Linked DNA regions of Arabidopsis thaliana. The protein of the gene in region 4 interacts with the protein of the main gene of each other region in a pairwise test. Each region holds a gene or a part of one and is shown on either strand. Other genes may lie near its edges. The genes, in order: AL7, AL6, AT3G24860 and AT3G58630.

Region 1 (5,737 bases), on a different chromosome or scaffold from region 4:
CCCTGTATGTATTCAAGATGTGAGTGTGAATGGCCATAACGCTCTTCACCTTGCTGTGATGAATGATAGATTTGAAATTCTTCAAGTCCTCACCGGTTGGCTCCAAAGAATGAGCCAAAAAGATTCTGCTTCCACCGAATCTGATTTCTTGAATAGAAAAGATTTAGCACACAACACGCCTTTGCATCTTGCAGCATATAAGGAAGATCATCAGGTATAGTTCTTAAAGCTACTAAACTTTTTTTAGTTTTGTATGTTTTCTGTCATGTTGTGTCAAAATTGGCCTGAGTATAAAAGATATGTATGCAGGCGGTAAAACTGCTGCTACAGTGTCAGCTGGTGAAACTGAACGAAGTAAATGCGGATGGTTTAACATTCCTTGATATCTTAAGAAACAATGGACAGAGTAGAGACTTGGATAAGGATTTGGAACAAGTTGTTGTAAAAACCGGGTGCAAGGAGGCGGCTTCTCTTCCGCAACTCGAGAAACCGTCTGATCAGTTTAAGTCACCAGTCACTTTCTTGGCTCATTGCTCCATTGGCATCAGACGCCTAAGGTCCGACACTTCAGAAGAAGGCCGTGCAGTCTTCTTGATTATATGTACTTTGATACTCACATCCACTTATCAAACTGCACTCCAGCCTCCAGGAGGTGTACACCAGTCCGAGGGTGGTGGTACCGCAGTAATGAAACAGACATTCTTCATCGTCCTTTGGGTTTCTAACACTATAGGCTTCTGTTGCGCTCTACTCTACACGTTTTGTCTCCTACCAATCGGTAGCTTGTTTACAACATGGTTCTTTTGGATTGGAGCGTCTCTGGGAGTTTCTTATGCGCTTGCTATGGCTATAATCTCACCCAACCCTCTATTGTTTCTTTGTGCGGCCTTTACCTTGTACCTGCTCTTTCCTATGTATCTCTTTATGGAAATTTTCATAGCCCTGAGGCTGAGCCATCTGAAGGCTGCAGTAAATCGAATGTTTGTTACATTTGTGAAACAGAGAGGGACTTTGAGAATCTAAAGATATAACCTCGACAAATTGTTATTGAATGTCATGTTCTATGAGGTAATCAGCTTAATGAGTTTCATCGGGAGCCAAAGTTTAAAACTTTTAAAGCAAGTGAGATACCGAGAAGAAGAAACCACTTGACATAGACTAGAGAGTGCTTAAAAGACAGAATTTTCTCAGAAACTTAAGACAAATTAGTCATAACATTTTAACATTAACAGCAAAAAAAAAGAAAAGAAAAGAGAAAGAGACATTACTAACTGTAAGCTGTCTCAATCCCATTAAAACTACGCAATCAGAAGCCTTTTGTTTCTTCTTCTTCCCACAGCTAAACTCTTGTACTGTCTTCTTAAACTGTGAAAACGTTTTCCTCTTTCACAGGCTCTAATGTTATTATCACTTTCAGGCTTTCATTTTCTTGCTGGTAGTGCAACTTGGGCATTTGTAATGTTTGATATGCTCAGCCTTTGCTGGTGTGATCTTCACGCATTTCCCATGGAACCATTTCTCGCAAGCATCACAACATATCCAGAACTCATCTCCTCCATAGTTGTCGCCACACGCACCACAAACAGCACCTTGCTCGTCATCTTCATCCTCATCTCCGCTCTCATCTTCTTTTCTTGGTGGAGGGGACATCTTTGAAGCCTTAGTGTGAGATTCAGAATGACGAGGCTGCATTAGAAAACAAAGGAGTAAGTAGAGATAAGAACCCAACACAGATACATGGACTGAGAGGGCGAAAAAAAAGAGAAAACAGAAGCTTCTACCTTGCCACCACTAGATTTGCTTCTGCTACTGTTGTGGTTAGCAGATTGATCCTTGGATTGCTTTGCATTGCCAGTTACAACCTCGAAAATGGTTGGGAGATCATTTATCATCTGGAAGAGCCTCTTCCTGAAAGGAATTAATAAGATCAGAGGCAAGATAACTAAACCATTTGAGTCTATAATATCAGAGAAAACAAACAATGTTACTTGGCTATTCAACAAACATGATCTTTGACCTAAATTCTTAAATCTCAATAAATTTTGGTTCAGCTTAGATGGAATTCAATACATTTGTAGGTTCACTTCTCTCTACTGAAGGAGAAAAAATGATGATCACTTCTTCAGGGTTGTTTCACAGAAACAGGATAACATGAGTTTAGTGTGCCAGAGATCGTCACTAGTATCTACAACAACAACTACACGGTGTTTGGATGCTAGAATTATGCAGCTACTATACTAGTCATTGAAGCTTTACCAAACAAGCAAAATTAACAAACACAGAACACTGAGCAGAGAAAGAAACTTACCTCTCATTCTTGCCAAATCCGAAACGTGCACCAAAGTAAAATGCAACAGAGATAAGCCATGAATCACTGTGAACTGCAACCAAAGAAATCCAGTCTTTTTCTTGCATTCCGTCCCTTGCGAAATTGATGCCTAACGCTGGTTCAGGAAGCTCAGGAGGGACCTCCTCAACGGGAAGATTAACCTCCCATGTCTCATTTGGAAGTCCATAAAGACACAAGTTTTCCTTCTCTGCATTAGCAAAAAACGTAATTCACTAAGAAGTCAAGAAGAGAAACCACAAAGAGAACTAACTTCATCTTAGGTACAAATCTCACAAACACTTAAAAAGTCTATAATCTGTTCAAACATCATGAACCAAAAAAACTGTTCAAACAGACAACAACTCTGACAGGAAGATAATCAAAGATATAACACCTAACAGAGGAGTCAACTAGAAAAAGGATCATAACAACAAGTCTACTGCAGATTAGATGTAATCAGGAAGAAGCTAACTAAAACAATCTAACAGAATTTAGAAAAACAAAAGCTGGGAACAAAAAGAATCCGTGAACAAACTCATGAAGCAAAAAAAACGCATGTCCAATTACAATCTCTTCCCTAATTCAGACCCGAAAGGAACTCTTGCACTGAAAAATCTTAACTTTAGCAAAAAAAAAAAAAACACATCTTCCTATAAACAAGATAAGAACCAATGCGTTAGGAAGCTATATACAAGACTTTAAATGGGTAACGAAATAACTCACCAGGGTCACACTGATGGTAAAACTTCTGTACATCTGCAAAACAAAACACACAACAAAAGAACATGAATAAACCCAAAACAGGAAGAAGAAAGCCAAAATCTTTTGGGGGTTTTTTTCTCAGGAAATTAAGAAAACCCAATTGAAGAAACGAGCACTAAACATATAAAAAAAACTCGCAAATCTACAGAAATCATCTAAGATTCGATCAAAAGAAACAGAGTAAATAGAGAAAGAGAGATCGAGCTGACCAGTAGAGAGAGCCTTGATGAGACCAGCTCTACGACCACGAAAGTCGCTAAAAACCTCTTCGACAGTGCGAGGTATAGGATGCTGAATTCCTTCCATAGTATTGCTTCAAAAGCCAAAGACTTTCACAGATGAGAATGAATCAGCCTCACCAAAGAATGCTTCCAAGTATCGAGATGCACTCAGAAACAAAAAAGCCAAGATCGGCTTTTTAGTTTTTCCTTTTGAGGGAATTTTGTATAGTTCGGGGGAGAGTGAAATCTATAAACTTTCGGAGGAATTTATTTCATTTGGGGAAATTGAGAAGAGAGAGCTGTGCTAAGAAAAAAAAACCCTAAAAACGAAAAGGAAAGGAGACAAAAGACAATTTGAGGGATTTGGAAGCATTGGAAGAATAGATTAAAGCGACAACATCTCAACTTTTTTTTTTTTTTTTTAAAGTCACAACCTGTATTTATCTATTTATTTAATTCACTCCAGAAATATAAAGTCGTTTTACTTTTCTTTTGTTTTGGGTCAATATTTATGTGCGCTTTTTTTTCCTGAGGCATGTTCTACAACGAACTGAAGTAATAATACAGTAAATTTCTGCCAGTTTTACTGTGATTAACGTTTAAGAACTGTACTATAATATCCATATCTGTCGATCAATATAATGGAAAGGCTAAAGATTAAAAAAAAATAATGATTTTAAACAAAATTGATGGTTTTACAATATTCTGTCATTAATCTCTAGTTAATAATGAGTTAAATTATACTACTAATAGTTAAAAAGAATGCTTCAAGCTTAATACCGTAGAGAGAGCGAGGGTCTTTATCTGATTTGTTTAATCGTTAATGTTTTTTGTTATTATTTTGGTTTTGTTTATACTACTGTTTTACATGTTTTTGTTAATTTTCATGTGAATTATATTCAAATCAAACTCTACAAAGCTTTAATACATAGAAGTTAGAACTACATTAGGATGGATGACTATGTATTTCCTATCTTTTTGCAGATTAGAATTTGCGGGTAAGTAAGTAAAATGAGGCGTTGATGCTTTTATCCTCAAAAGAACAATCAGTTGTTTTTATGAAGAAGAAAAAAAGAAGAAGAAGTTAGTCACAGTTGGGAGATACTTGACGTGTATCACAAGTTGTCAGATACTTAGCAGAAAGATTAATGGTATAACGTCGAAACCAAAGAAACATTTTGATCTTCATACCAATAATTAAGTTTCCGGATGTTGTCTAAGAATCAGTTTGCTCCATTTCACGTTTCGACCTTATTGACATGTTGAATCATCAGATGACACATGGAAATGATTTTAAAACAATATGTATTTGTTTGGTTTGCTCTTCATCATGGTCTAATGAGCTATTTGCATACAGCATTTTTTAACATGGTTGTCTAATTTGGGATGTAAGTGTCGTTCTTTTGTATAAAGTTGTTTGATGGAGTTTCGTATTGTTTGATTAATTAAAAGGTAGTTTAACTAATAAAATTTAAATATATTTACGAATAATTAGGATTAGGAACACATTCACGTACTTGCCACATTAATAAAAGTAGACTATTAACTTTGTAAACATGTTATTAATCAATATTAAAAATATGCTACTGTCACATGACTCGCCTTCCAAGTTAGCTAACTATTAGTTAACTTCTAATATGTACTTATTAGATATAATAAGTATAAGTTCGAATCAATCTATTGTAATACCAATGTGGAATGAATTCATAACAAACTATCTTTCTCTCAAGGTTCATTCGTAATAGATTCATAAACATTCGATGAATAATGTAGTATCAGCTGACCAGTCAACAATTTTTGTAAAATACTAAGGCAACAAAATCAAGCTGACTATTCAACAATGGGCCTAATCTCACGAAAACGCCCAATTTGAAATCAACGAAGCCCATAACGCAGTGGTCTTCTCCGTCCATCCACCTGAAGCCCACAATTGATTATGGAGATCATCATCCGAAATCTTCAACCAAATCATTTCAACACAAGGCCCTCAACCCCGAAATTCGATGAGAAAAACTTTTCAACATTTTGTCACTGAAATACGGTTCGCATAATATAATGGAGTTCGGGTAAACCTGGTCTGAAATTTGATTACGAAAGGGCTCACAAATGATTTTACTAGTCTTAGTTAATTAAGCTCGAGGATAATGGGGCAATAGTTGTAATTACAAAAGTTATGGGTCATATTTAAAACATAATAAAAATATAAGGACCATAAACTAAAAAGTTTCAGTGTATCTTGCATCACCGAGGCAAGTATGCCAGTAGCCTCTCCAAGCATTTCAACAATCTTTGCCTTCCACCCGAAGGAAAGCCAATCCTATAAAGAGGGACGAAATCAGATGTAACTTAGCTTGCACATCCCCGAAAACACCAATATTCTTAAAGATTCCACATTATTTCCTGAATAAAGAAGAACCAAAAGGAA
Region 2 (5,388 bases), on a different chromosome or scaffold from region 4:
AATAATATTTGTCTTAACACGGTAAGATAATCGATATATGGATAATATTTATTTGAACGTACTAAATGTTTCATTTAACGTACTAATGTTTCATCGAACCTTTTATTTTTAGTTTAATTAATTTAGGGGTATAATTGTCATAAAATTAAAATAGTAGAAGACAACGGTGTTTTTTTTGTCAGTTAATTATCATTATTCTGAGGATAGATAGTCATATTACCCAAAAAAAAAAAAGTAAACTAATAAATGAGTGGCATGATATATAAGCTACATGCCCAAACACACATCCTTGTCTAACATTGGGCTCAAATAGATCTAGTCAAGTAATAATTTGGGCTGTCATAATTTATCAACTTCAATCTTTTTTTTTATATATATAGCAAAAGTTCAAAAGACAACAAGATTGATGGCAATGTATATTTGCACTATGAAAAAACAATAGAAGTATTAGATAATTAATACTTGAACCATTTTTTCAAATGAAACAGTTTTTCTTTTTGACAATAATGAAACAGTTTTAAAAAAAATTAGAAGTATTAATCCTGACTGATACCTTTTGACCAATACCAATTTCATAATATATGGTGATATAATCAACTTAACTACCAATCATATGAAACAAAATAAATAGCTAAATAAAAGAGAGAGTAAGATAAAAGATGAATAAAAAGACTACATAACGACATAATAGTTTTTACAATTTTAGCAAATTACTAATCAGAAAAAAAAAAAAAAAATTACTAATCAGAACTAAAATATCTTAAACAGACCAAACAAATTAGTAGTAGAATTAACATTAACAACAACAAAAATCCAAAAAAAGAAAAGAAAAGACATCACCAACTGTAGATAGTCTCAATCCAACAATAAAGACTAAGCAATACAATTTTTTTTTTTACCTGCTTACATCTTCTAAGTCCCTTTTACTGGCATTTCTTATAAACTGGAAACTTCACCTTCTTCTTTCATAATTTTCTCCTAACTCGCTTTACCTTTTCATAATTTGGTTATTTAACTTCAAGGTCTAGCTCTCTTGTTACTGCAAGTTGGGCATTTGTAATGCTTGATGTGTTCTGCTTTTGCAGGTGTTATCTTCACACATTTTCCATGGAACCATTTCTCACACGCGTCGCAGCAAATCCAGAACTCATCTGTACCGTAGTTGTCTCCACAAGCACCACAAACCGCACCTTGTTCATCGTCTTCACTCTCATCTTCACTCTCATCTTCTTCTTCTTCTTCTTCTTTTGGCGGTGGAGATGACATCTTTGCAACCTTTGAGAGAGATTCGGATTGGCGAGACTGTTTGTGAGGAATACAAAGAGATAAAACTTAGCAGAGATTGATAAAACAAAATGGTGAAACAGAAGAGATACCTTGACGCCACTAGGTTTGCTTTTGCTATTATTGTTGTTAACAGATAGATCCTTGGACTGCTTTGCATTGCCGCTCACAACTTCGAAAATGGTTGGCAGCTCATTAATCATCTGGAACAGCCTCTTCCTGAAAAAGAATCGGTCCATGGCATAAGCTTAAAGGCAAGTGATAGCTAAGTTGTTCAAACAAACCTAATGCCAGAGAAGAATTTGATGAGATTCAGAATCAACAACTCATTCTGCTCAAGCTTTTCGTTTAACCTGTCAGCTACCAGTATCAAATAATGGATTCAGTGATTGTTGCTGAGCTCTCAACAAAGGTACAATGCAGTGGAAACTACCTAGGCTAATTACAGTGATCCTGCACAAGACTAATACAAGAAGTACTAATCAGACTTAGAGGCACATATCACATCTATTGACTAATATATCTATCTCAATAACATTGATCCAGATTGGTGCGATTCATAACTCTAGTCACTTCAAAATAGAAACTGGGAACCACTTACAAAAAGAGTTACACAGAAACCGACCCTATAAATAAGATCACGTGAGTTACAAAAATCCACACAGAGATTGTTGTATCAGACAAATAGACAAAACAAGAGGATGCTAGAATGATCATTATAACCTTACCACACATGAGTACACCCAATATTGTCATAATTGAGATGCAACACTCAAAAACACTGAGCTTGAGAAGGACCCTTACCTCTCATTCTTGCCAAATCCGAAACGTGCACCAAAGTAAAATGCAACAGAAAGCAGCCATGAATCACTGTGAACTGCGACCAAAGATACCCAGTCCTTTTCTTGCATTCCGTCTCTAGCGAAATTGATGCCTAAAGCTGGTTCAGGAAGCTCAGGAGGAACTTCCTCAACGGGTAGATTAACCTCCCATGTCTCATTTGGAAGTCCATAGAGACACAAATTCTCCTTCTCTACATAAACAAGAATGAAACACCTTAAAGAAAAACCACACAGAGGAGGACTAACTAACTCAATCTTTAACCAACACAATTCAACAACATACAAGCTCAACAACTTCAACAAAACATTTCACTAGAAACTATAGAAGCTAAGCAAGACTAATTTTTTAAAAGTTGTGAAGAAATAACTCACCAGGATCACACGTTTGGTAAAACTTCACCATATCTGCATAAACAAAACACAAAACCCAGAATCGTCAAATCTCACAAAAGAAACCCAAAATAAAAAAAGTTCTTCTTTTTTAACAAATGAAAAACCCAAATGCCACAAAATCGTAACTCTGTAGATACTTATCATTCTGATTCGCAAGTGAGAAACAAGAATCAGACCAAAACTGACCATTAGTGAGAGCTTTAATAAGACCAGCTCGTCGACCTCTGAAGTCGCTAAAGACCTCTTCAACAGTACGAGGTATTGGATGAGTAATTCCCTCCATTTCACAAACGATGTCGCCGGAGAAATCGCCGGAGAATATGAGTACTCCGGTCAAAATCAAAATCTGAGACAAATGTTTCCAGGCAAACAAAAGAAACCCAGAAGGAAAAATATTCACTTTGGGGTTTCGGATTTGGAGAAATGAAATTTGTAAATCTCTGAAAGAGAGAGTTTTTTTTTAATTTGGGGGAAATTGAGAAAAGAAAAAAAGAGAAAGGAGCTACAAACCCTAAAACGATAAAACAAAAGGGACCGATCAAAGATTAATTTTGGGGCTGAGAAGTAATATTAATAAAGACAACATTGTCTATTTTATTATTTTTGTATTAATTAAATAAAGACAACATTGTGTATTTTATTATTGTTTATGTAATAATATAAAATCTATTTATTAATTCCGATCTACATACCCTATTTTTTTCCGAGCTACATTCCCCACTCCCAAATTTTACATTATTTTTATTTTGGTCAAAGACATTTATTTAAATTTTATTTTATTTTTAAAAGTGTCGACGAAAAAAACATGTATTTTTTTTTTTTAACATATTCATTTCCATTAATATTACGAAAAAAAAACATGTTTTTATACGTAGGCTGAGGCATCCAAATTGATCCACAAATTTGGTTTTTGTTTTCAATTAACTTGACCTTAAAGATAAAAGTTAAAAGTTAAAACATTCAGGTCCATCTTGTATTGTACAGAAATAGCATGCCTGGCCCATTAAAGGATAGTGGGCTTTTATAGTAACCTAGGGGAAATGAGATTTGAAGTTTTCAACGATCATCACATTCACGTATTTTGAAAGTTTTTTTCACGATATACACCAGAAATAGATATTTTGAAAGAGAAAGCTACTAAAAAACGGAAAACATTTTGCCTTTTATCACTCAAAAAAATAAAAAATTCATCAAATTTTTAATTATTTTATTGTTTTTATGTGTGATTCTAGATGTAAGAATTAAGAAACGAACCAATATTAATCGGATTCGTTATCTTTGAATATTTTTGCGTTAAGCACGTCGTACTAGCTAGCGAATACGTTTACCGCAACTGTAATCTAATTCGTCACAGAATATCAATGATGTGGTATAATCAACTATAATCTTCTTTTTTCTTTGGGCAAAATCAACTATAATCTATGAATATATACTTACTAATATAGGTGATAGACATATATTATTTAAAATAATCTAAGAAAACATGCAAATACGGTTACATCGACCGGTTAGAAAGGGAAAAAACTTTAAAATTAGTACTTTCGTATCATATTCAAGTCAGTATATATTAGGATTTTGCCACATTACATATATTATTAAAGATTGTTAATAATTAGGATTAAAAAGACTAGTATGAGAGTTAAGTCAAGTTTAAATTTGTTTTTCTCATTGAGAAAAAGGGAACTGATTTCTTACAACATACAACTGTTCATGCTGGTCATATCTGACAAAATCACGGGAACAACTGCTCTTACCAAATATTGCACGTCCTATGCTTTTTTTTTTTGTCAAACCCTAATTAGTCTTATATTTACAAAGACAAAAAACTAGCTAACATCTTTTATCTTTATATATTTCTATCTCAAAATTAGTTGTTGAATTCTTAAGAGTTAGTGGATTGTTTATCTATAAAGTCGCACTAACAGGTAACTAAAATTAAACATCTTGGATCTAATGCATGTAAATGACAATGCAAAATGAATTCTAATAAGTGATGAATAAACAACAAAAAATATCAACATTCAATTTGAAATTTTGAAATGGAATGAAGACCAAATTAAATATCACTAGGTTGGATTTACGGTTACTATTGTTATGGTTTAGTTAGTGTTTGGTTTTAGTCTGGTTTCGGTTAGGGCTCGTACATGAAAATCTAATCCAATAAGTTTATTTCTTCTTTGGTTTGTTTGAGAACTTTTGATACGGATTGCACTCCTTAGTCATTTTGTATTCATATATTACAGTGAATTTTTTTTTTTTAACTACGTTGAATCTAGCTTAAAGAAATTAACTTTAACACAAGAAAAAAAAAACTACTTAATTGACTATATATGTTGAGAATCAGTTCCATTACATAAACTCGCAGTAATCAATCATTGTCTATCGCCATAACAATATATAAGGAGTATGAAAATATGGCAAAGCAGCATTAATAATTATTGTCATGGATAATAATCATGATCTAATTAAATTACTTAAAAGGAATATTAGTATAGTGATCTCTGTTTCCATCTGGTACTATTGGATTCCACATATCCCACAAAGCATTGTTTGGAATCGTTCCTGCAGGAATCATGTTCATAGCTAACGCCGCTTGAGTTTGAGGCATTAGCGTTGTCGCTGTAGTCGCCGCAGCCACCAATTGTAATGCGTTTGCGTTAGCATTTTGTTGTTGAGTATGATGAAACTGTTGAGCAATTTGAAAGTATTGGTGATTGATGTTACCTCCATCTGATATTTGGTAGTTAACTAGTCTTTGAAGATCGTCAACAATGGCAGTTTCATCATCGTCTTGATGATTTCTCGTAGAGACTATCAATGTGTTGTTGCTTGTGTCGTAAGGCATTGGACGATATATGTTTTGATTGGC
Region 3 (3,675 bases), about 13 Mb from region 4:
CCCAAACTGCTAGTATGGGTACGACCAAGGGTATGCCTCAAGCGAGTAATGATTTGAAAAACATAAAAGCAGTTGGTTCTACTGCGGTGCCTGCTTTGGAACCTCCATCTTGTGTTGCTTCTGTGCAAAGCACTGCTTCGAAAGTAGTAAACAATTCCAATACAGATTCAGCAGGAAATGATCCAGTATCAACACCGAACCAAGGACTAGCTCAAAAGCACGGGATCAAGGGCGTTACACAGAGACAACAACAGTCTCTACCTTCAGAAGAAAAGAGACCGAAATTGCCAGAGAAGCCGACTGTACAAAATCAGAAACACCTTGCTTCTGAGGAGCAGCCTCATTTAGAAGAAGCACAAGAATTATCATCTTCCAAGCCTCCTGATACAAAAGTGGAATGAGAGGCATGACAGATGAACCTAGAACCTTGAGTAGCTGTAGATCCTGCAAAGCTTAACGCTGGCCCTTACCGACAACAACCCTGTACAGGAACCCAAACTGGTTTGTGTCCTCCACCTTCAGAGTCGGGTCTCTTTTTGGCATTAACATCTTGAAGCTGCTGGTGGTCTTTGGATTTGGCTGAGAGTATAACATAACAAACTCTACAGATTGTGGAGTTTGCAGATTTGGTAAGGCCAGAGGGAGATCAATAGGGAAGAAGTTGGTGGATAGGATAAAATTCATGCAGGTCTTTTTGCCTCTTTTGATGAACACAAAGAGAAGAAGGTATATCATAATGTAAATTACCCACTTGCATCATAGAGAAGTAGTCTCTTCTTCTTCCCATCTTTTGGTTTGGGAGAGAGTAGAAACAGTTTATAATGTTTTGTATAGAAGTCTCTACTCCTCCATCCTTGTGGCATATACTTAGGGCCCTTTTTTAACCTTTTCCTCTAACTTATTCTCTTGTAGGTTTAGGTTAATTTGATGAATGTATCATTGTTCTTTTATGGTTAAAAAAAAAGTTCACTTCACTCCCATAAACATTAGCTTACATAGTGCATTTCTTCAAATCCGTTACCTATGTTACAAATCTAAAAGCAACAATGACTAAATCTCTACGTTAGAAAGAATCAAAAGCATTGTTGATAAATTGAAGAAGCTGAGTTTGAGAACTCTGAATCAAATTGATTCTACGAATCTCCATTTCCTTACGAAGTCTCACAGTCTCTTTAGCAAACTCAATCTTCTTCTTCTCCATTACCATTACTCTCTCAGCAAACGCCCTAATCTCCGCTGCAACGGCTCGCATTCCTTTCCTCCGCCTCTCACCACCGTCTCCATCGTTCCTCTTCCTCTTCGATGATCTCTCTTTTTGTCCCCATGACAACAATCCTCCACCAACTCCAGCAAATCTGTTAACAGTTCCAGGTCTTCTCAATATGTAATTAATACTCCTCGATTTGCTCTGTCTCTCATCTTCTTCTTCCTCTTCTTCGTAGTTATTGTTATCCTCTTCTTCATCTTCTTCTTCGTCGTCTACGTAGCGATTATTCGAATTAGGAGGAAGACGAGTGAGAGGACGAGCTGAGATCGGAGCAGGATTTGAAGAATCCAATTCCTCCATTTGATTATAGAAAGGCCAAATTGAGATAGGTCCCATACTCTGTCTCTCAGATCGGAATCTTTTACGCATCTTCTCGATCTTATGCCTACACTGTGTAGATGTCCGTTCAACGCCGGAACGAGATGAGGCAGCAACGGCGATCTCTTCCCAGTGAGTTGATTTTAGAGGACCACGACCAATTGCGAACCATTTCTCTTTGTATGATTCGATTAAGAGGAGGGTCTCGTCTTGAGTCCAGAGAACAGGTTGGGTTTTTCTGGCGACGGCGGAGGTTGATGCGGCTAAAGCTACGACGGTGGTGTGCGGTGGTGGAGAGGATGGATTCGTGGGTTGAGGAGGAGAGGGTGGTTGTTTCTGATGCGGCGGAGTAGCGGCAGAATTAGGGTTTGAATCAGAGGGAGGAGAGGAGGTCGGCGAAGGCGTCGCCATGGTTTAGTGTAACAATGTTAATTGGTGCTTCGGATTTTGTCAGTTTAACTCCAACTCGGATCTTTGGGCTTTTTTTGTCTTCTTGTTGATTTTTTAAATTTTGGGCCCAACAAAAATTTACTAGACCAACCCACTTAGAGGAAGTAAAAATTTACTTCTCTTTTTTTACTCAGAGGAAGTAAAAAGTATCGGAGGAACAAAAGAGATAAACTCATGCAGAACTCCTTTACTTATTCAACACAATAGTCTAACTTGTAGGGATTCATTGAAGAGAAATTGACTAATTCTTCCTAACAACTGACAAGTAGAACAAGGAGAAGCAACTTTTCTCCATGAAACAAACCAAGAGTTTGAGGTGATGCCTTAGCATTCTTCGAAACAATCAATCACTTCAGCATATTTGGTGAGCAAGTTTATACCCGAGAGAAAGCCCAAATATGTTTACTGGGTTTATATTCAGATAGTCTTAGCTAAAGTCGATCTAATCACTTCACCATATGTTTTTTTGTTATTCTGTATCAGATCATCTAGAAAGGATTGTGTTCTTCCCGCGACGAAAAATTCCCTGGAGGCTTCGATAAAGATGGTCTTGCTTTTGCTGCAAACAGCAAAACAGCTTATGTGGTCAGCCACTACTGCAGTTATCTCTGTTTTTCAACCAGCCTTCCAAGTTGTGCCTAGGCAAACCTGCGTTGATGAGATCCTCCTCTCATTTTCTCTCTAATCGTTTCTCATCCTCTTCACTGCAATTTCCTCCTTCTTCCATCAACGGCTGCTAAGTGAGCAAAACGAACAAAAAATTTAGTTGGAATATGACAAGAGATGAGCGTGATGTCTCTCACATGTAATATATATGGTTTGAGGGTGAAGTAATAGTAGCAATGCAGACTTCGGATATGAGATTCAAATATAATCAGGTTTCAGCTTGGAAGTTTCTGCAGTGTCTTGGCCAGCACGAATGCATTCCCTGTGTTAAAGGACGTCGTACTTATTCAAGTGGCAGAAGGAAGCAATTGTAGCAAAACCTGTCATTGGCAACAAATTTTGTTCCTGATTTGATCATTTAGTAGAAACCTGTCACTTAGTAGAAAACAACCCTGGTTTTGATTGTATTGAGCATTTCTCATGAATGTACCATAACATGTAACCTTTTCACAATTGGATCAATGTCATCACACAAAATTAGACTTTGAGATATATTACAAGAAATCGAAAGGTAACTAAAGTAGACCAAACAACAAACCAGATTCATGTCAAAAGTGCTAAGTACATACGATTATAATGATCTGAAACAATAGAAGGAACAAGTTACTAAGAAGAAAGAGGAACCCAAGTTTCTTTAGTTTAACTCTTTCAAGAAATTACTAGACAAAAGAATCTTCAGAATCTCCTGAAAATCACTGTGCGTGTTAATCAACCAAGTTATAGTCACAAGACTCACAACAGACATAAGATACTTAGCAGAGACAGAGAGCAAGAGAAGAGCTACTCTGTTCCATGGCAAAGCAAAGGACTCCACGACACCTGAACGACCAAACACTAATGTTGTCGCCTTCTTTCAATCCGTTAGCCTCAACGACATCGTTCCACCCACAAATCAGATTGTAGTTCCAGCTTCCTTTTCCTGATTCCTTCTTCAGCTCCCATCTTTTCAACATCACACCCCACTTTACAGACCG
Region 4 (5,187 bases):
AAAAAGAGGTTAAGCTGGCGGAGGAAGCTAAAGATGCTGCGGGACATTTGCAGGTAATTTCATCTTCCATACAAAACCGTGTATCCTTCTTTCCAACATAGTATGTAGTATTAATATGGAAAATTTTGGTTTGAGGAGAAGGCAATAACACTTCCAAATAGGACCTGGAATTGTGTCTCGATGAGAAAGTTTCGTAATCATCTTTAATTAACAAACAGCGTTTAAACTTGTAAAATGTTGCTAGGGGATTGATGTGTATACACCGGATGGGGATAGTACACCGTGATATAAAGAGTGCAAACTGTCTTTTGAGCAACAAATGGACAGTCAAGATCTGTGATTTTGGGCTGTCGAGAATAATGACAGGGACAACAATGAGAGACACAGTCTCTGCAGGAACTCCAGAGTGGATGGCTCCTGAACTTATCCGCAATGAGCCCTTCTCAGAAAAGTGTGATATCTTCAGTTTAGGTGTAATAATGTGGGAGCTATGCACTTTAACCAGACCTTGGGAAGGAGTACCGCCTGAACGGGTAACTTAACTGAACAAGAAGAAGACTCTTTAGTGACATATGTGTATATATAACAAGTTTCCTCATATTTCTTCTCAGGTTGTTTATGCTATTGCTTACGAGGGAGCTCGGCTTGAGATTCCTGAAGGACCACTGGGAAAGCTTATTGCAGGTCTTGTGACTTGTCAAAGTGTTGTTATTTCGTTTTTCCTGAAGCTTTGTTTGGGGTTTATGGAGTATCCTTTTCTGATGTGTTGTCTCTTGTTCGCAGATTGTTGGACAGAACCGGAACAAAGACCGAGTTGCAATGAGATACTCTCTCGTTTGCTGGATTGTGAGTATTCGCTTTGCTAACTTTCTCTCAATCATATTTTCCTTCTGTGAATATAAAACTTTGCAGCGAGAGAGGTTTTTGTTTTCTTCGTTTCTTTTTTTTGAATATTGTTGGCTTTCTCCTTTGAGTTTGTACAAAAGAACTTTGGCGCTTTCACATCCACAAAAAGCTTTGTGGAACTCTTTTCCGTTTAATCATTTGCAAATTCGTAAATTTCAAAACCTCTGAAACAAAAAAGTAAGTCTTATAAATTTTACAAAAGGTGAGAAGAGTTGCTCATTCTTTCAGTTTAAATGATCAAGCTTGCTACTCTTTTTCGTACCATAAGGTTTGTTCCCTGCTTTGCATTTGCTATAAGAAAATTACGGACAAATACATGTACTTTTCGTTTATATTTCGTGCCTTAAGAAATGAAAAGGAGCTTTGATTGACAAAGAAAAAAGAGCAAACTACAGTTTTTGCAGAACTTCTAGTTATTTAAAGAAAAAACGATTTTATGTTCGTAGCCGTAATTTGTCATTACCTATTTGACAACAACATACATTCTAGTACCGAGTTTAAATTCGGTGATATAACAACGATACTAGTAGTTCGCGTTACCCATTTAGCTTATCACCTAAACACACAAAACTTAGAATAACTTATTCTAATATAGCAATGTGTCATTAACTTACAAAAATAGATCGTTTGATCATATTCTACTTGGCAGTACTATCATTACATTTTACGGAAACTAAACCAAACATCTAACGAGCCATATCCGATTTTTTAATTAGCTTTGATTTTTCTCTACAATCTACAGTTTCAGAAATTTCACCATGCTATAAATTTGTCAATTACATACTATTTAGGATGTGATACCAATTCATTTGGAACCGTTATCATATTCTAATTAAGTTAGACAACAAAAAAAAAGGAAAATATCAACCAAAACTTACATATTATATTACCAACGATTCACCCAAAAAAAAAATATATTACCAACGATTCATAATGAAATTTAATTAGAACTACCACACATAATATTACTAATTAACTTTAGACTTATCAAATTGCATATTAAAATGAATATTTAAAGCTTTTGTAAGAAAAAAAAATATAGAGAAATATTATCTTGTTCGGTAGTCAACATTAACAAAATAAAATAAAAATTAAAACGTTTTAGCTGTTAAAAAATAAAAACCAAATTAACGATGTATATAAATTAGCTAGAGCTGGCTCGTTTAGTCTGGCTCACGGTTTAGTACATGCACACAAAGCAAAAACGCTGGTTTGTCTTTTTAAAAAAAAAGAACTTCGTTTCTCTTCAATTCCGTTACCGTCACTGTCACCGTTCACCTCCGTTTATCTCATCCTCACCGTTCATCTTCTTCGATCTAACTCGCCGTCGTTCACCTTATAATGGACACCGTCAACGATTCCTTTTCGCCGGGATCTTCCCGACCTTCGCCGGCGACGCTTTCTCGTGAAGATTGCTGGAGCGAGGAAGCGACCTTCACGCTCATCCAAGCCTGGGGTAATCGCTACGTCGACCTCAGCCGAGGTAATCTCCGTCAGAAACACTGGCAAGAGGTGGCTAACGCCGTTAACGACCGTCACTACAACACCGGTCGAAACGTTTCCGCCGCCAAATCGCAGCCGTATCGCACCGACGTTCAGTGTAAAAACCGGATCGATACTCTGAAGAAGAAGTACAAAGTCGAGAAGGCTAGGGTTTCGGAATCCAATCCCGGTGCCTACATCAGCCCTTGGCCTTTCTTCTCCGCTCTCGATGACCTTCTCCGGGAAAGCTTTCCGACGTCTAGTAATCCTGATTCAACTGATAACATCCCGCACCAGAGGCTATCACTTCCGATGTCCATTAATCCAGTTCCGGTCGCTCCACGATCGGCGATCCCCAGACGTCCGGCGACATCGCCGGCGATTATACCTCACGCCGGTGACGATTTACTCGGATTTCGCGGGAATCTCAACGCATTCGCGGCAGCCGCAGCGGCGGCGGCGTGTCCGGCGTCTGAAGATGACTCGGAAGGTTCAAGGTCTAGATCGAGCGGTCGTAGCGGGAGTAACAAGAAGCGGGAGAGGAAAATTGAGAAGAAGCAAGGCTACAAGGAAGTTGCCGACGCAATTGAGAGGCTTGGACAGATATACGAGAGAGTCGAGGAGAAGAAGAGGAAGGAAATGGTTGAATTGGAGAAGCAGAGAATGAGATTCGCTAAGGAATTGGAATGCCATAGGATGCAACTGTTCACGGAGATGCAGGTACGTCTTCATAAGCTCCGGCGTACCTCTGGCTCCAAAGGACCGACTTCCTCCGCCTCCGCCGGTGAGACCTGAATCCTTTCTCTCGCCGTATTTCGTAATCTGTTCAGAATTCTATGTCTTTCTCCATTGTTTAGCTGTGTAACAGTGACTATAGCATAAGAGTAGAAACAAATTTTACCTTTTTACTTGTGATAGTCTCTGTGCCAACGACGGCTATAATAAACCCAATCAAAGTACAAGAACAAATTGATATCGCACAGAGATGATGAATCTGAACAAAAATAAACTAATTAGTAGCAAGTATTGGTATTCATGGTAAGGAGGAGGTCCTGGTTACATTTTTCTCCTAGATGTTGTTGCTTTGTTACTTGTGTTTCTTGTAATTATAGTCTGAGTGTGGAAAGTTTTTCTACAATGACTGATGTGAGCATTAGTTGGGAAGCAGTTCATGAGCTAGAAACTTGAATCTGCTTCTGTTTGTTGTTAAGCATGAGTGCTTTGTGAAGTGTTTTGAGTGTGATGCCCAGTAAGTTTTGAGTGTAGAGTAGCCTTTTTGTTGGTTAGTTGATTGAGAAGATTGTGAGTTTACATGCTAACTGCTTCGAAAGTTAGGAAATAATGGGTATGGATGTTTGAAAAGAGAATGCATGATATGTGGAAGGATTTTTCGGATGCATCAACCATTAGTTTCTGACATATAGTCTCAGGAGACAAAATTTGATTTTTTTTTGGATGCATCAAATCTTTCCTGCAACTTGGCTATGGCATTACACGACAGACATTTGTTTCTTTCGTTTTCGCTTGGTCCATATTTCTTTACTTGTTAGTCACCTGCTAATTTGATGAATTCCTCTTTGCATTACATGTTTGACCACTAGAACAAATTATCAGCAGCAGGTCTATGTATGAATAATAAGTGAACTTTTTCTGTTTATGCAGCTCTTGATTATGGGATGATGGATTTCCCTAGTTACTTCTAGAGGTACGACTCCTTTATTTATATTTAAAACTCCCTAGTCGATCAAAACTTTGCCTATGTACAAAATGTGTAGACTTGTTGGGCTAAGTCGTTGGTTTTGTTTGCAGCATCATGAGTTTGTGATTGTAGCCATTTTGATGAAGATGAGAGAAAGTCAGCGTTCTTCCACCAACCAATAGAAGATATGGTAACAAAGAAACATGAGTTTCTCTTTGTTTTGTAAATTTTAACCCTTTTAGAAGATTCCGATTCCAACCCAGGATTGAAAAAAAAATTGGTGACGTTATATTGGTATATCTACACAATGAAACAGTACAAGAAACAGTTTTCAGCAAAATTATATTGGTTAGTATTGTTTGGTATTTCTTAGTTTGTGTTCTAATTTATGATTTAATGAGGTGGAAAATAAAAAAAAAATCTTCAGGGATATACCGCTATATCCTAGTAATTCATTATTTATCTATTACAAATCTCAAGTTCTCAACTCCATAACATGTTAAGTTTAAGAGACTTTAATATGAAATGTTAAGAACTTGAGATTCATAACCTTTGCCCAAAATGTGAGGCAAATCATTTTTGCTCTCATTGAGACTTTGTCATAGTTTGTGTTCTGTATTGGCGCCTCAAATTCCTTCTATGAAACTATAGTTTATTTGTCAATGGATATTTTATTGAAAGCAGTGTTATTACAAGTAACCCAGCCCACCAGGACCCATTTGTAATAAGTAAGAGTTTCTAAAACAAACAAAAATAAGAAAACCAAATGAACCATTAAATTGGGGCCTTTTTGCATGAACGATAATTGAGAAACATGCATTTTCCTCGGATTAATACAATCGGAGCAGGTTTCAATATGATAATACAGTAAAGCAAAACAAAAGAATGAAAATTTCAATTAACAAAATGGCTCTTTGAATCAATTTACGTTCGTGAAGACTAAAGATTTGAAAGAATGAGAAGAGAGATATGTTATAAGAGGAAATGCGTAACAGAGTCCTCTAGTAACTGATGACTAGGACATACCATTTCCTTCACTTTCTCTCCCTTCTTATAAATCTTAAACGTTGGAATTTTCTTGATGCTCTCTGCTTTCGCCA

The links.
Region 1: the proteins of AT3G58630 (region 4) and AL7 interact in a two-hybrid assay, tested with the Arabidopsis thaliana proteins (one large-scale study listed by BioGRID).
Region 2: the proteins of AT3G58630 (region 4) and AL6 interact in a two-hybrid assay, tested with the Arabidopsis thaliana proteins (one large-scale study listed by BioGRID).
Region 3: the proteins of AT3G58630 (region 4) and AT3G24860 interact in a two-hybrid assay, tested with the Arabidopsis thaliana proteins (one large-scale study listed by BioGRID).

The regions. Positions count from the first base shown.
Region 1 is NC_003070.9:4,960,758-4,966,494, forward strand, and holds AL7 (alfin-like 7), read right to left. Parts: upstream 3,759-5,737; 5' UTR 3,398-3,758; coding exon 3,301-3,397; intron 3,086-3,300; coding exon 3,053-3,085; intron 2,538-3,052; coding exon 2,309-2,537; intron 1,909-2,308; coding exon 1,782-1,908; intron 1,687-1,781; coding exon 1,414-1,686; 3' UTR 1,024-1,413; downstream 1-1,023. Other genes in the region: AT1G14500 (Ankyrin repeat family protein), read left to right, coding at 1-214, 310-1,023. UniProt on the Arabidopsis thaliana protein: Histone-binding component that specifically recognizes H3 tails trimethylated on 'Lys-4' (H3K4me3), which mark transcription start sites of virtually all active genes.
Region 2 is NC_003071.7:650,251-655,638, reverse strand, and holds AL6 (alfin-like 6), read right to left. Parts: upstream 3,064-5,388; 5' UTR 2,803-3,063; coding exon 2,706-2,802; intron 2,532-2,705; coding exon 2,499-2,531; intron 2,318-2,498; coding exon 2,089-2,317; intron 1,504-2,088; coding exon 1,377-1,503; coding exon of another isoform or gene 1,303-1,376; coding exon 1,018-1,302; 3' UTR 654-1,017; downstream 1-653. Other genes in the region: LOV1 (NAC domain containing protein 35), read right to left, coding at 4,990-5,388. UniProt on the Arabidopsis thaliana protein: Histone-binding component that specifically recognizes H3 tails trimethylated on 'Lys-4' (H3K4me3), which mark transcription start sites of virtually all active genes.
Region 3 is NC_003074.8:9,071,963-9,075,637, reverse strand, and holds AT3G24860 (Homeodomain-like superfamily protein), read right to left. Parts: upstream 2,016-3,675; 5' UTR 1,997-2,015; coding exon 1,064-1,996; 3' UTR 956-1,063; downstream 1-955. Other genes in the region: AT3G24870 (Helicase/SANT-associated, DNA binding protein), read left to right, coding at 1-401; AT3G24850 (B3 domain protein (DUF313)), read right to left, coding at 3,454-3,675.
Region 4 is NC_003074.8:21,682,832-21,688,018, reverse strand, and holds AT3G58630 (sequence-specific DNA binding transcription factor), read left to right. Parts: upstream 1-1,979; 5' UTR 1,980-2,247; coding exon 2,248-3,172; coding exon of another isoform or gene 3,173-3,183; exon of another isoform or gene 3,184-4,050; coding exon 4,051-4,091; 3' UTR 4,092-4,093; intron 4,094-4,197; 3' UTR 4,198-4,489; downstream 4,490-5,187. Other genes in the region: AT3G58640 (Mitogen activated protein kinase kinase kinase-like protein), read left to right, coding at 1-53, 245-533, 612-684, 784-866; TTL4 (tetratricopetide-repeat thioredoxin-like 4), read right to left, coding at 5,060-5,187.